Caenorhabditis elegans: one gene and its partners. The protein of the gene in region 3 purifies or fractionates together with the protein of the main gene of each other region. This does not show direct contact. Each region holds a gene or a part of one and is shown on either strand. Other genes may lie near its edges.

What was found. Proteins that work in one complex are often made in the same cells at the same time.
Region 1: the proteins of mmaa-1 (region 3) and nhr-201 fractionate together in Caenorhabditis elegans (co-fractionation; one large-scale study listed by BioGRID). This does not show direct contact.
Region 2: the proteins of mmaa-1 (region 3) and dcap-1 fractionate together in Caenorhabditis elegans (co-fractionation; one large-scale study listed by BioGRID). This does not show direct contact.

What each region holds. Positions count from the first base shown.
Region 1 is NC_003283.11:463,047-468,055, forward strand, and holds nhr-201 (Nuclear Hormone Receptor family), read left to right. Parts: upstream 1-1,810; 5' UTR 1,811-1,817; exon of another isoform or gene 1,818-1,917; intron 1,918-2,695; 5' UTR 2,696-2,710; coding exon 2,711-2,844; intron 2,845-2,893; coding exon 2,894-3,024; intron 3,025-3,070; coding exon 3,071-3,150; intron 3,151-3,239; coding exon 3,240-3,368; intron 3,369-3,414; coding exon 3,415-3,624; intron 3,625-3,670; coding exon 3,671-3,867; intron 3,868-3,956; coding exon 3,957-4,326; 3' UTR 4,327-4,463; downstream 4,464-5,009. Other genes in the region: nhr-202 (Nuclear Hormone Receptor family), read left to right, coding at 113-241, 292-501, 594-790, 1,398-1,662, 1,709-1,810; srbc-57 (G-protein coupled receptors family 1 profile domain-containing protein), read right to left, coding at 4,521-4,730, 4,784-5,009.
Region 2 is NC_003282.8:1,051,978-1,056,574, reverse strand, and holds dcap-1 (mRNA-decapping enzyme 1), read left to right. Parts: upstream 1-1,780; 5' UTR 1,781-1,788; coding exon 1,789-1,887; intron 1,888-1,936; coding exon 1,937-2,046; intron 2,047-2,112; coding exon 2,113-2,797; intron 2,798-3,501; coding exon 3,502-3,606; 3' UTR 3,607-4,051; downstream 4,052-4,597. Other genes in the region: Y55F3AM.13 (FH2 domain-containing protein), read left to right, coding at 275-403, 445-1,030, 1,095-1,240, 1,288-1,491. UniProt on the Caenorhabditis elegans protein: Component of the decapping complex necessary for the degradation of mRNAs, both in normal mRNA turnover and in nonsense-mediated mRNA decay.
Region 3 is NC_003280.10:7,099,048-7,102,971, reverse strand, and holds mmaa-1 (Methylmalonic aciduria type A homolog, mitochondrial), read left to right. Parts: upstream 1-1,808; coding exon 1,809-1,861; intron 1,862-1,904; coding exon 1,905-2,961; intron 2,962-3,080; coding exon 3,081-3,170; 3' UTR 3,171-3,389; downstream 3,390-3,924. Other genes in the region: farl-11 (DUF3402 domain-containing protein), read left to right, coding at 1-354, 570-654, 702-1,163, 1,213-1,439; T02G5.3 (EF-hand domain-containing protein), read right to left, coding at 3,688-3,798, 3,844-3,924. UniProt on the Caenorhabditis elegans protein: May have GTPase activity. May also bind and hydrolyze ATP. May function as chaperone. Likely to have a role in propionyl-CoA and adenosylcobalamin metabolism.

The DNA.
Region 1 (5,009 bases), on a different chromosome or scaffold from region 3:
AAACGGAAAATTGTTATTGAGACTGAAATAAGTGGCCCGACATCCTCCGGGTTCCACGCCTCACCATCAAAAACCCAAACTCAAGGTCGGGCCATGCACATACAATTTCCAGACGCTTGAAACATTCCTTGCTCGACCAAGCTTTATAATTCTCACTGCTCCACCAAAAGATGCACAAAATCCCAAGGTCTATATCGATGTCAAATTTTTGATTGACAAGTCCTACGGGGAGTTACTAAAGGCAAGATATTTCCAGCTAGTACAAGCTTTAACTAAAGTTGTGTACTTCAGGGCATTGAAACACCTATTCAAACGTCGAATATTTTGAAAAAGCTGGCTTTGGGTTTACAGCAAGTCCGGGGGTCTCAGAGAAAAGTAACGAAACGGCTAGAAAAATTCGGAAAAGATGAAATGTTTGCAATGTGGGAAAATGATATGCTGAAAGTTGCCAAGTGGTTCACCTACTTTGAAGATTTTCAACAGTTTTCTTCGGAATTTCAGGTAAAGTTTAAAAATTTTGCAATGTTTTGTGTACAAATTACAATAAAAATATTTTTTTATTTATAAAAATAAAAATAAATAAAAATATTTAGATAGAGATTATTAAAAAAGTTTGGATTGTCTGGAATGGTTTGGAAAAGCTGGCAACTACCGCCAAAATGAGAAAGCGGATGAATTGTGATGATATTCTTATGGTATTACAAATGGAAAATGATCTAGTGGCTTGTGGGAAGTCGGTAGAGTTCGACTTATCTTGGTGCTCAAATTACAAAGCGGAGCAGTTTGCATTGTGAGCATTATTTTAAAAAAATTAAATCATTGCCTATATATTAAAAAATAGTGTACGTCTGTTGACTACGTCATCAATGGGCGGAGCCTCTCCATTTGTGGCGAGACTCATCGTTGCGAGTCCCATCGTGGCGAGACGCATCAAAAGAAAAATATTTCGGCAGGAAACTGAAAATTTTCTAAGAATACAATTTTGGCGAAAAAATTAAAATTTCTGAGAAAAGTTGTTAGCGGGTCTTTCCAGAAAAATCTTGAAATTTCTAGAAAAATCTGGAAAATTTTAGATTTTTCTGGAAACTTCTAGAGTTTCCTACAATAATCAGGAAACTTCTAGAAATATGTTTAGAGTAATACAAACTTGAAATTTTGATTTTGTTCTGAAAATTAGCTGAAACTTAATTTATAAAATTGAATTAACCGAAAAAATTGACTGAAAAAAATTACCCGAATTTTTAGTTTAGTCTCAATTTGGCGGCCAATTTAAAAATGTTTTTGAAAAATCCAATTTCACTCTACAACTCACCAACTTAAAAACGTAAGACTTGAAAATTCATCAATTTTGTTTTACGAACTTTTCGAAAAACATTACTCTCTTACTATTTTTTCAGCATCGATTCAAATTGGAACAAACATGAAGAGCTGCTGGAATTGATGGTACAACTCAACCCAACAGATGAGGAACTTTGTTACATGCTATGTCATTTGTGTTTCCAACAAATTAGCAAACAATGTGACGGGCAAATACTTGAAGCCGTTGAGCAATTTCAAGATTCTATATCAAATCATTTACACGACTATTACTTGAACCATTTGTCCCGCCCGAATTATTCCGGAAGGATTGCTGCTTTGATGAAGCTTAATAGTATTGCTCAGGTATTTTATATTAAACCTTGTCTGGAAAAAACTCTGAAATTTCCAGCAATTCATCTACCAAGACCAAATAAATGTGGAGATTTTGAAAGTGTTCGAAGTGTTTTTTGTAAACTTTTCCCATCCGGAATTATTTATGAACTACCAATAACGAATTCATAATCTGTAAATAAACACCTATATTCTTGGCACATTTTTGCTCTTTTTCTAAAGTACCAAGTGCTCTTCGCACCTATTGTTTGCACTACAAACTACACTATATTATTCCACATCAGACATTTCTCGTAGAGTCTGCGTCTTCTTTTAAATTTCTCGTCATATGCTCGGAACTACCTTTACAACTTTTTTTAAAATCGGAGGTGCTTGTTTTAATTACTTTGAAAAATGACGTTATCTATTTTTTTTGAATCGTTAAACTTTTCAAAAAATATTATTTAGATTTTTCGTTTCTGAAAGAAAATTTGTTTGGAAAAATGTAATTGTTCTTGTTCGTTGACATTATTTTTAAACATACACAAAATCTCAAAATAGTTTTGAAACTTTTTTTTTTTGGATTTTTGGATTTTTAAAATTTTCATGTGTCATTTTGTTATTTTCAGCATCAAAAATTTCAGCTCATTTATGGAAAATCCGATTTTTTTTCTAAAAAAACCTGAATATTTTATTTTGTTCCCCAGCACTTTAGGATATTCCCCCTAAAGCAAGTAAGCTGTGTAAATACTACCAGGTCCATTATAACACCCGCAGAATACCCGAGAAAAGTCGGCAATTGCAAACATGTGGGGAAGAGACCAAAGAATCAATGTACTTTCTTTTGAATGCGTCTGTGTTTTGATGAGTTGAATGACGGAGACGATGACCTTATTCGATTAGAACCACATGGTTTCGCACTCCTGTTATTAGTGAAATTATGTCCGAGAGTATTTGGATTTGAGAGATTTATGTGTTTTTAGATGGGTCATTTGAAGAAATTTTTTATTTTGTTAAAAACTCATGTTAATGCTTTCTTAATTTTTTTGTCATTTGAAAAAAAAAATTTAATTTTCAGAAAATGAACAATCCTTGCTCATCTTCACCCCCAGACCTCACTCTTTCAACAATAGAAAAATGTCCAGTTTGCTGGAAGCCTGCTCATGGCATGCATTTCGGAGCATTTACATGCAGAGCTTGTGCAGTATTTTTCAGGTGAACTCTTAATTTGTAAAGCATCCCCTAGTCAGCTCATAAATTTCAGAAGATTCGGAGCTTCAAACAATCTCAAACCATGTAAAAAGAACAATGTTTGCAATTTTGATAAAAATGGATATGTGAGCTGTAAAAAGTGTAGATTACAACGGTGTTTTGATATTGGGATGAAAATTGATAGTCAGTAGAATTTGTTGGTATACGTCTCAGCAGTTTTTATTTTCAGATTTTCAATTTGAGAGGGACCCGTATAAGCAGAAGCTTGAAATGCAGGCGGCTTTGAAAGTTATTCGGAACATACCACAGGTAAGTTTTTGAAGAATTTTTAGCACTTGGCAAAAATGGTCAATGGGCTGTGACGTGATAGTGCAGCCTAGAAATTCAATCATTTCCAGACCCTAGACACCTTCCTCGGCCGGTCCAGTCTCATAATGTTCACCGCTCCATCTTTTGATGACTCTCCAACGGAAGTTCACATTGATGTTCGATTTCTCATTGACACTGCGTACAGGCAGCTTTTGAAGGTAGGAAGCTTTTTTTTTAGTTTTTCACAAAAAACTGATATTTCAGGGTCCCGAAACGCCAATTAAAACTCCAAATGCACTGAAAAGGCTTGCGATTGGGCTACAAAATCTTCACAGTGCTCAGGAGAAACCAACAAAAGTTATGGAAAAATTCGGGAAAGATGAGACTTTCGCAATATGGGAGGACGATGTGCTGAAAACTGCAAAATGGTTCTCCTATTTTGATGATTTTCAAAAACTTCCCAGTCAATTGCAGGTAAGATTATTATTTTTTCAATAATGATAATTTGTTGAATATACAGCTGGACATTGTAAAAAAAGAATGGCTTGTTTGGAGTGGATTGGAGAAGCTTGCAGCACTGGGAAAAACTAGAAGACAAATGATGTATGAAGACTTTGCATTTGTACTTCACGTGGACAATGAATTAGTGGCGTTTAAGAAGACGATTGAAGTTGATATATCATGGTGTTCGAATTATAAACTTGAGCAATTGGATTTGTAAGTTTCATGTTTTCATGTTTGAAATTACGGATTTCCAATAGTTGCTCCCAAAATTAACCTAAAACTAAAAAATTAAAAATTTCCAGCTTCGACTGCAACTTCAAAGAACGTCACGAACAACTAGTTCAGCAGATTGTAGCCCTCAACCCAACCGACGAGGAATTGAGCTTTATGCTATGCTATTTAAGCTTTCAACATTATATGAAACATTGTCCGAAGCACAATGTGGAAATAGTAGAACAACTTCAAGACTCCATATCAAATCATCTACACGAATATTATTTGAACCATATGAGCCGTCCGAATTATTCGGGGAGAATTGCCGCTATTATGAAGCTCATTAATGCTATACAGCTATTTTTGCTACATGATAAAACCAAGATGGAGCTGATGAAAGTGTTCAAAGTGTGTTTCGCTAAATACTCGCACCCGGAATTATTTTTTGAATACGAATAAGTGACTTTATTAAATAACAATTTTTATTCGATCTCTATTTTTCACTGTATAATTTTTTAAAATAATATTTTTATTGTGGATATAGAGAATTGTTGCATTTTAGAAAAAATGTTTTATGAATTATTTGATCCTTTTATCTTTACTATTAGCCGTGTTTCGGGAGCGCCCCGTTAAGCTTCACCCGAGTAGAACATCTACACTGGTGACACAAAAGTCGGCGCCACAGATTTCTGTCTAGCGATAATTCTAAAAATTATAATCGATTCAAACAAAGATCCACCGGTTCTCGGGATCGCAGTTATTCCAGTTTTCAAATTAATTGATGGAAAATACGCCAATACAAGTACCGGTAGAAAATTGAAAATGATGATAATAATGCAGTCAAGAAGTGCGATTTGGGTGGCCTGAAATAAATTTATTAAAGAGTACAGGTCTTGCAATATTTCTATTTTCTAACTTTTGAAATCAACTTGCTACTTTGATTGAACACCAAAAAATTGCAGACAAAAAGTCGAACGAACAAAATAGTGGATAAACTGCTAATTACAAAAAATACCACTTGCTCATGAACCATCCAATATTGTAGGTAACATTGATTTACCGTACACTGGAAATTCTCGCAGTTCACTGGAACGTCAATTACGTTCCCACAGTAGCCGAATAGCATGAATTGGTCAAAAAAT
Region 2 (4,597 bases), on a different chromosome or scaffold from region 3:
GTAAAAATGCTGATTTTATACCAAAAATTCACTAAAAATAAATAACACGCACTTGTTAATTCGGAGCATCGTTGTTTTAAACTCTAAATTTTTTTTCCAGAAATTTGATGGTTTTCCCAGTTTTTCAAGCATATTTCATGTTTTTTGGTGCCTTTAACGCTTCTGAAAAATTTTAGATTCTCGAAATTCCATCTTACAATCTCTCGATTGCTCTGAAAATCTCAAAAATCTCAAGATTTCGTATAAAATAGGATTTTCCAGGGTAAATCACGCGATGCCAATGTACAAGCTGACACCGACGTTCCCACCGAATTTTGAGGTTCATCCGAAAATCGCCTGCTATCCAGTAGGTTCGTATCATAATCCATCTTTCGGAGGAGTCGGGCCTTCTGATGCGGTGCAGGTAATAGACGGATTTTGGCTCAAAAAAAACTGAAATTTCAGGTAGAATCCGATCCGCGCAAGGCTTTGGAGCACAAACAGCTCTCACTGATCGAGCAGCTCAAAGCACAGACCGAAGAGCTCAAGAAGTTGCTGGTAAGCCTTGGAGAGGCTGGAAAAGCAGAGAGATCTGCTCAAAAACCTGCGGAAAAAGCGCCAAAAGAGCCTGAGAAATCCGCTGGAGCAGCCTCTTCAGCTCCCGGAGTCCCCGGAGCCCCCGCAAAACTAGACAAGGACGCCAAGAAGGAGGCTCGCAAGGCTGCCAAGGCAGAAGCCGTAAAGAAATTGGCTTCCGGAGAGGCTCCACCACAGAAATCCGCGAAAAAGACCGTAAATTCGACTCCATGGACCGTCCAGGACGACCGAAAGACGTGGGAGACCAATCTGACTCTCACCGTGAATCTCCCAACCTCCCTTGTGGCCTACGAGCCGCAGGAGCAGCTGAAAAACGCCACGCTGACAGTGCGGGACGTGGATTTGCCGTGGGCTCGGGCTCTCGCAAAGGTCGGCGCAAGCCGTGGAGTCTCGTTTGAGGGAGAAGTCAAAAATCAGACGAAAGAGAAGAAATCCAGTCTGAAAGTTGTGAAAGGTGCGGGATTTTTTCTCTAAAAATCAGAATTTTATGATATACCCTTAATTTTCAATATTTTCAGGCCCTGCTCCCTCCCTGCAATTGGAAAAAACTACCGTCAAATCCCTTCAAACTATCTGGAAGCTGTTGGGCTCTTCACTCGGGCTCTTCTCTAGACGGCCACAACAAGTGCTCAGCGCCAGTCATCAAGCGATTTGGCTGGGAAAAGTAGGAAATTTTAGAAACTTTCCCAAAAAAATCAAATTTTCTTTCAGGCCGAGCAAATCCTTGCCGGCTCCTGTGATCAGAGCTTTGTCACACGTGAAGCTTCTCAGTTCCTGGCTCGTTTCGACTCGTTAAGCTCTCAATGGGAGGTGTGTGTCGCTGATATTGTGTTCAGAAGCCTTCTGAACCTTGGGGAGCACCTTCCGAACAATGTGGAGTTGTGGGCTAAGAAGATTGACGCTTTGATTGTTTAGATTTGATTTATTGATGTTTTTATTTGATTTTCTCGGTTTAAATGAATTATTTTGCATTTTTATCTGATTTTTTCGTTTAAGAAACAAATTTTTTGCTTTAAAAATTCAGTTTACAATTACAACGATACTCCAAAATCCCGCAGCGCGCCCTGTTTACCGTAAATCTACACCATAGAATTTCAATTTAAATTCTGTCTTTCTTTGTTTTTTTCGCGATTTTCACCGATTTCCGCAGATTTTTTGCACTTTTCTCATCATTTTTCATCGAAAACTCAACATTTTCATCCAGGAACCAGTATGAGCGACGCTAAAAAAAAGGCCGCCGCCGAGCTAGCCGCGAAAAACCTCGCACAACTCCAGAAAATCGACATCGCCGCCAGCAAGATTCTCGACAAGGTTTAACATAGAGAATTGTGGATTTTAAAGCTAAAAATTGGTTTTGTAGATGCCATTTGCCGCGATTTATCATATCGATGCGGCGAGAAAAGAGTGGAATCAGTCGAATTGCGAAGGAACATTTTTCGTCTATCAGAGAGCTGATCGGCCATATTTTAGGTGAGAAGAAGCAAGAAAACATGCAAAAATAGCTAAAATAATCAATTTTAAACTTATTTATTTCAGTTTCCTCATCGCAAATCGCAACGATCCATCGGATTTCATCGAGCCGCTCACCCTCAACCATATTCTCCGCCACGACGGAAATTTCATCTACTTTTACAAGGATTTGGCCTCAATTCAAGCACTATGGTTCCACCAGATTGATGATGCTCAGAAAATCTACAATTTGTTGCAAAAACTCGTGAATCGTCTGAAAGGAAGCACTACGGAGCAGGCTCGGGCCGCCAAGGCCGCCTCGGAGGCTCCACAGGCTTCGGTTCCGGCTCCAACGCAGGCTCCAGCAGCTCCAGCTCAAGCTCCACAAATGGCTCCTCAAGCCCCACCAAAAGTGGATCTTCTCCAGCTCATAAAAAGTGCGCAAAATCCGCCGCAAAAATCTGCGGCAACGATCGAACAAATGCCGCCAATGCTCCAGAAGCTGATGCTCAAAGAGCCGGGAGCAGCAATGTCGGCCGATGAGCTCGAGAAGGATCTTATAAAGTCGGCAAAACCGCATCGGAATCATCTTTTGCAAGAATTTACTAACTCAACGTCGGCGATTTCGTTGGCGGCGGTCTCGACGAAGCCTTTGCATGGATCGGAGGGTGATGTGGAGTCGGATATTGCTGAAGGAGAGATTTTAGAGCCACTTGATGCTTCATTTGTCGTTGGAAGTGGTGAACAGACGCCTGTTCTCAATAAAGAACAGGTTGGAGCTGGAAAAACGTTTTTTTTTTGAGTGAAAAGCTCAGATTTTTTAGATAAAATCAATTAAAAACTGATTTTTCACGAGAAATCTCGAAAATTTACATGAAAAATCTTTATTTTAGTTGAAAAATTTTGTCAAAAATCCCATTTTTGCTCGAAATTGGAGCTAAAAAATGCGAAAAATCAGTTTTTTAACGGAAAATTCAGGTTTTCCAGCTAAAAATCTGCTTTCTCAGTGAAAATGAGCAATTTTTAAGCTTGAAATCGACTTTATTTGTTTTTCAACATGAAATTACGATACTTAAGCTGAAAATTTTAGGCCCAGGCTTAGGCTCAGGCCTAGACCTAGGTTCAGGCTCAGGCTTAGGCTTCTGCTTCGGCTTAGGATTAGGCTTAGGCTTATGCTGAGGCTCAGGCTTAGGCATAGGCCTAGGCTCAAGCTTAGTCTTGTCCTTTAGATTTAGCCTTGGGCTTAGGCGTAGGCGTAGGCCTAACCTTAAACTTAGGCTTAGGCATAGGCATAGGCTTAGGCTTAGTCTAGCTTAGGTATTGAAATCTCTTTTAAAAAAAGTACCGTTTTTTCCTAAAAATTATAAAAAAGCGGTAAAATTTCCGGAAAAAAGCGAAATTTATCTAAAAATCTCAGATTTTTGTGAAAAATCGTTAAAAATCACCGAAAACCCCCTAAAATTCAAATTTTTTCAGTTCATCTCAGCAATCGCCCACCTAATGCAAACCGACGACGAATTCGTTTCACAGATTCATCAAGCCTACGTCAGTGCACTCAATCGGCGTCTAAATATCGATTAATTTCCCATTTTTTCGACCTTTTTCTCATTTTTCTGCTAAAAATCCTAATTTTCCCCGATATTTCCCTGATTTCTTGCTGGTTTTTGAGTGAAAAAATCAAAATTTTCTCCGATTTTTTGCTAAGAAATTTTTTTTTCCGATTTTTCCTGTGAAGATTTCCAATTTTTTGCTCGAAAAATCCCATTTTCCCTCTATTTTTCCCACTTTCCATATTTTTTCAACGAATATTTTTTTGTGAATATTGTGTGATTCCTCCTGAGCCCTTTTGCTCATTTTTCCCCATAAAATTGTCCATATTTTGTTCACTGAATGGGTCTCCCTATTGATGATATCTCAAACCACACCGCCCTCCAAAAATTTTCGTTTTTTTAAATTTAAAATTCCCCATTTTCTCCACTTTACTCTAAACTCTTGATTGTGAAAAATAATAAAGGAAGTCGCGTCGAAAAAGTGCAGAAAGTTGGCTGAAGCTATCGAAAATTGTGGAAAGTTACTGATAATTGTCGAAAGTTGACGAAAGTTGTCGGAAATTGTCAAAAACGGCAAAACTGACGAACTTTTGTCAATATAGTAAACGTTTTCAAACACCGCCGACAAGTTGTAGAAAACTGCTGGCAAAATATTGCACGGATTTCTGGCTTCCCTCATAAATTGAAATGGAAGAGTTTGTCGAACTAGGCCATTTTGGTTCGGCCATATCTGGGGTAGATTTACGGCGCGTTGCGGCTCGATTTTAGTTGTAAAACTAAATGCATTTGTCCGAGTGGAGTGCACCACTTTCCCATGCGTTGTCCGGCGAGCGATTGTCAATGGAGCGCGAAAAATCCATTGAGGAAGGCCGGAACCCCGTGTATATTAATAGAATAAACATTTTCATGTATGCAAAATATGTGCACAAAAACTTTTAAAGAAAGTCGGCATCAATTTTCGTGTTGAGCCATTTGGAATAAAGATTATCATTATTCATTTTCATAACAATTATATGTTTTCC
Region 3 (3,924 bases):
AGTCAATATATTTGTGCTCTGGTGAAGGTTATGGTTTCGTCAGTGCCATCAACGAAAGCACGACATGAAGGTTTAAATGTACTGATTGATTGCTTAACGCCTGAAATGGAAGCATCTGATATTTTATCAAACTCAATATCCCTCGATAATTCAACATCTTCTCCATTGGAGGAAGGATTCCGACTTGCCATTGACATCAACCGCCATAAAGAGATTATCGTTAAATCACTATCAGCAATTCTTCTTTTGCTAGTTAAGCACTTCAAGCTGAATCACATTTATCAATTCGAATACATTTGCCAACAGATTGTATATGTGAATGGAATTCCCTTGATTTTAAAGTTTCTCGATCAGGTATGTCACTTGTTGCTCTTTTGCAAAGTTCCAAAAGCGATCTTGCCTCACCAAAGTTCATTTGCCGCTCGATCTATCCATCGCCCCACCCTTTTCTCTGCGTTTCTCATTCTTCAATGAGTGGCATGTGAAATATACGTGCAGACTTTAAAAATTGAAGCCCTTCCCTTCAAAATCAGATTCTTCTTTCTGCTTTTCATTTCATTTTGTTACAGAACACAAACAAATTAATCCAATCAAGACATGAAATCTACGCCTACAACTATCCACAATGTTTGTACCATTATGTCAGAAATAATGGTGAGTCTTAATTATTCCAAACTAAATTTTTCGTATTCCTTTTTCAGAAGAATGGCCAATTTTGACTCAAGACAATATAGAAGAACCACGTCCACCTGGCGCTGGCCCGTATTTCATGTGGCGAAATGTTTTCTTCGCAATCAATCTCATTCGTCTACTCAACAAATTGGTCAAAGCTAAAAACGATCGAGTTAAAATGCTGATGGTGTTCAAATCTGCTCCAGTTTTGAAGAGACTTTTCAAAGTACGAGTATCGGTACTACAACTTTACGTGCTGAAAGCGATCAAAATGCAATCACGATACCTTGGACGCCAGTGGAGAAAAAGTAATATGGACATAATTTCGGCGATCTACTCGAGAGTTCGACATCGAATGACCGATGATTGGGCGTTTGCTTCTGATATCAAGAGAAAGTGTGATTATCAAAAAGAAGACAGTTTGATCAAAGCAAGCATCGAAAGATTCCATAGTAGACGATATTCGGCATTATATCCTCAATTTGCTATTGGTAAGATTAAAATAACAAAAGCTTATAGCAACAAAAATTAAATTTTCAGAAGTGAATGATGCTCCAATGCCTGGTGACGACTACCTGAATCGAGTTGATATGAGAGATTTTGAGCCCGTTGACACGTGTGCTCACTCTGTTCTTGGTGCAAATCTGAAACTTGGACGTCATTTTAAGAAAGATTACGAAAAGTGGCTTGAACAGGAAGTCTTCAATGCGAGTATTGATTGGGATAAACTTCTGATAGAGACACGTGGAGTGGAAGATCTTATGTAAATCGATTCGATCCCGTTTCCACTGAACAAAAATCTGTAAATAACTAATTATTAGTTATTAATTCTTCTTTAACGATAAAAACGAGTTCATCTTTATTGTTCCCTTGTTCCCCAATGATAACTAACTTGTAAATCGAAATTTTGTTTGAAATTTTAGATCTCCCCATGCCCCCTTATACTTTACCAACCATCATTTTTCGAAAATATTTAATTTTTCCTTGTCAGAACCAATAATTGGACTAAAACCGAATGAATTCAATTGTTTACATAACATCGTTGTTTTGTTATTTTGATCATTGAAACGTTTCAACACTTGATATCTCTTATTTCTATTACTATGCGTTTTACCAAGTCTATCTTATTGTTTCAGATGGTAGTAAGATCATTGCTTCGGGTATCCAGACTCACTTCAGCTAGTTGTAGGTGAGATTTATTATCGTTAATATCAAGAAAATAGAATTTTCAGACACGCATCGTTAGCAGTATCTTCAACTCCAAAACCCTATATTCCATCAGTCACTGGAGTTCAGAAATCAATGCCATTTGATAATCTATTAGAACAATATTCTCGTGTTCATTGGGATGACTCTGTCACATATGATGATCCAAATGTGCAGAAACTTTTCAAATCATTGATGAGCGGAAGTCGAGCTGCCCTGGCTTCTGCAATCACACTAGTTGAATCTCGCCATCCGACAAAAAGAGCACAAGGAAATATGTTGTTGAAGATGGTTTTAGATGAAGAACGAGAGAAATACAAGAAATTCGGGAGAGATTCTATGATATTTCGAGTAGGAATCTCTGGTAGTCCAGGAGTAGGAAAGTCGTCTTTCATTGAAGCATTAGGAGCAGAATTAACCGAAAATCGAGGAAAGAAAGTTGCAGTTTTAACAATTGATCCCACTAGTGCCATGACGGGAGGATCTGTTCTTGGAGATCTTACAAGAATGCAAGAATTATCTCGTAATCCCAAAGCCTACATTCGTCAATCACCAACTTCTGGATCGCTCGGTGGTGTCACTCGTGGAATTCATGAAGCTGTGATCCTCTGCGAAGGTGCTGGATACGATATTGTTATCATTGAGACTGTTGGAGTAGGTCAATCTGAAACATCCGTTTCCGATATGTGTGATATGATGTGTCTTCTGTTGTCACCTGCTCATGGAGATGAATTGCAAGGTGTTAAACGAGGTATTATGGAGATGAGTGATTTGTTGGTTGTGACGAAAGATGATGGAGATTTGAAAGCGAAAGCCAAGATGACACAGGCTGAATACATTTCCGCGTTGAAATTCATGCGACCACGACTCGATGTATGGCGTCCAAAAGTTATGAGATCCTCAATTATGGATAAAGAATCTGTATCAGAAGTTTGTTCGAGTTTGTACGAATTCTGGGATACAATCGGAGAATCAGGAGATTTGGAAAGAAGGCGACAGGATCAAATGAAAAAATGGATGTGGAATCATGTTAAAGACGAAATTATGTCCGTTTTCCAAAAGCATCCGAAAATAGCACATTTGGTACGTTTTTGTTCTTAAAATACACCATCAAAACGATATTTCAAAAGAATTTGCAAAAAATATAATACTGAATTAAAAAAAAATACTGTTTGATAAATTCTAAATTTTCAATTTTACAGGCACCGAAACTGGAAAATGAAATTCGAAGTGGAAAAATCACCCCTGGTCTGGCTGCAGAAACAATGATCAGAACGTTCTTCGGCGTCTAGGCAACTCCTCATTTTTACCCCTTTATAACTCTACATTTGTAAACCACCTGTTCAATTGCAATTTTTTATTGTATTTTCTCGAGACTCACCAGTGTTTAATGTATTCATTAGATCCAATGTATTTAGACTTTTTTTTTGTGAATTTTCAAAACTAGCCAATCTTCTAGCCATAAATTACAAACATAACGGGATAAATAAAGAATATTAAATATTACCCGATTCGTGTGTTAAATTATTTTGCAGTTTCCCTAACTAACGTTTCAGCCAACAAAGCAATCTCAACCGTCATGAAGAGAGATGCTATAAGGACGTCGGAAGTTTAGCCTTAGAACTTTGAAAGCTGCTTTCAGGAGTGTGATTTATCTATTAGTTTGGGCTGTCAAACTATCCATTGGAATTATTGTTCTGGCATTATTTCACTTTGCGTGGGATTACATAGTATTTGGGTTTTTTTGAAAAATTAATATTTATCTATGATATCAATATTTCAAACATTTCAGATTAGGCTTGGGTATAATTATGCTTTGAGAAGAGATGGTGATGTTGGATTTGATGATTTTGTAACTTTTTCCAGAGTATAAACAAGTTGAGCTTCTGGATCTGTGACTGTATAGGATGCCACGAGCACCTAAAAATAAAAATTTGGGAGAATGTAACAAAACATTGAACATACCCATTCACTGTCAGAATCTGCAAGTCTAATCAGACTGTCAACTTGATGAGGAAAATTAATTTTCAAATGTTCCCGAGAGCT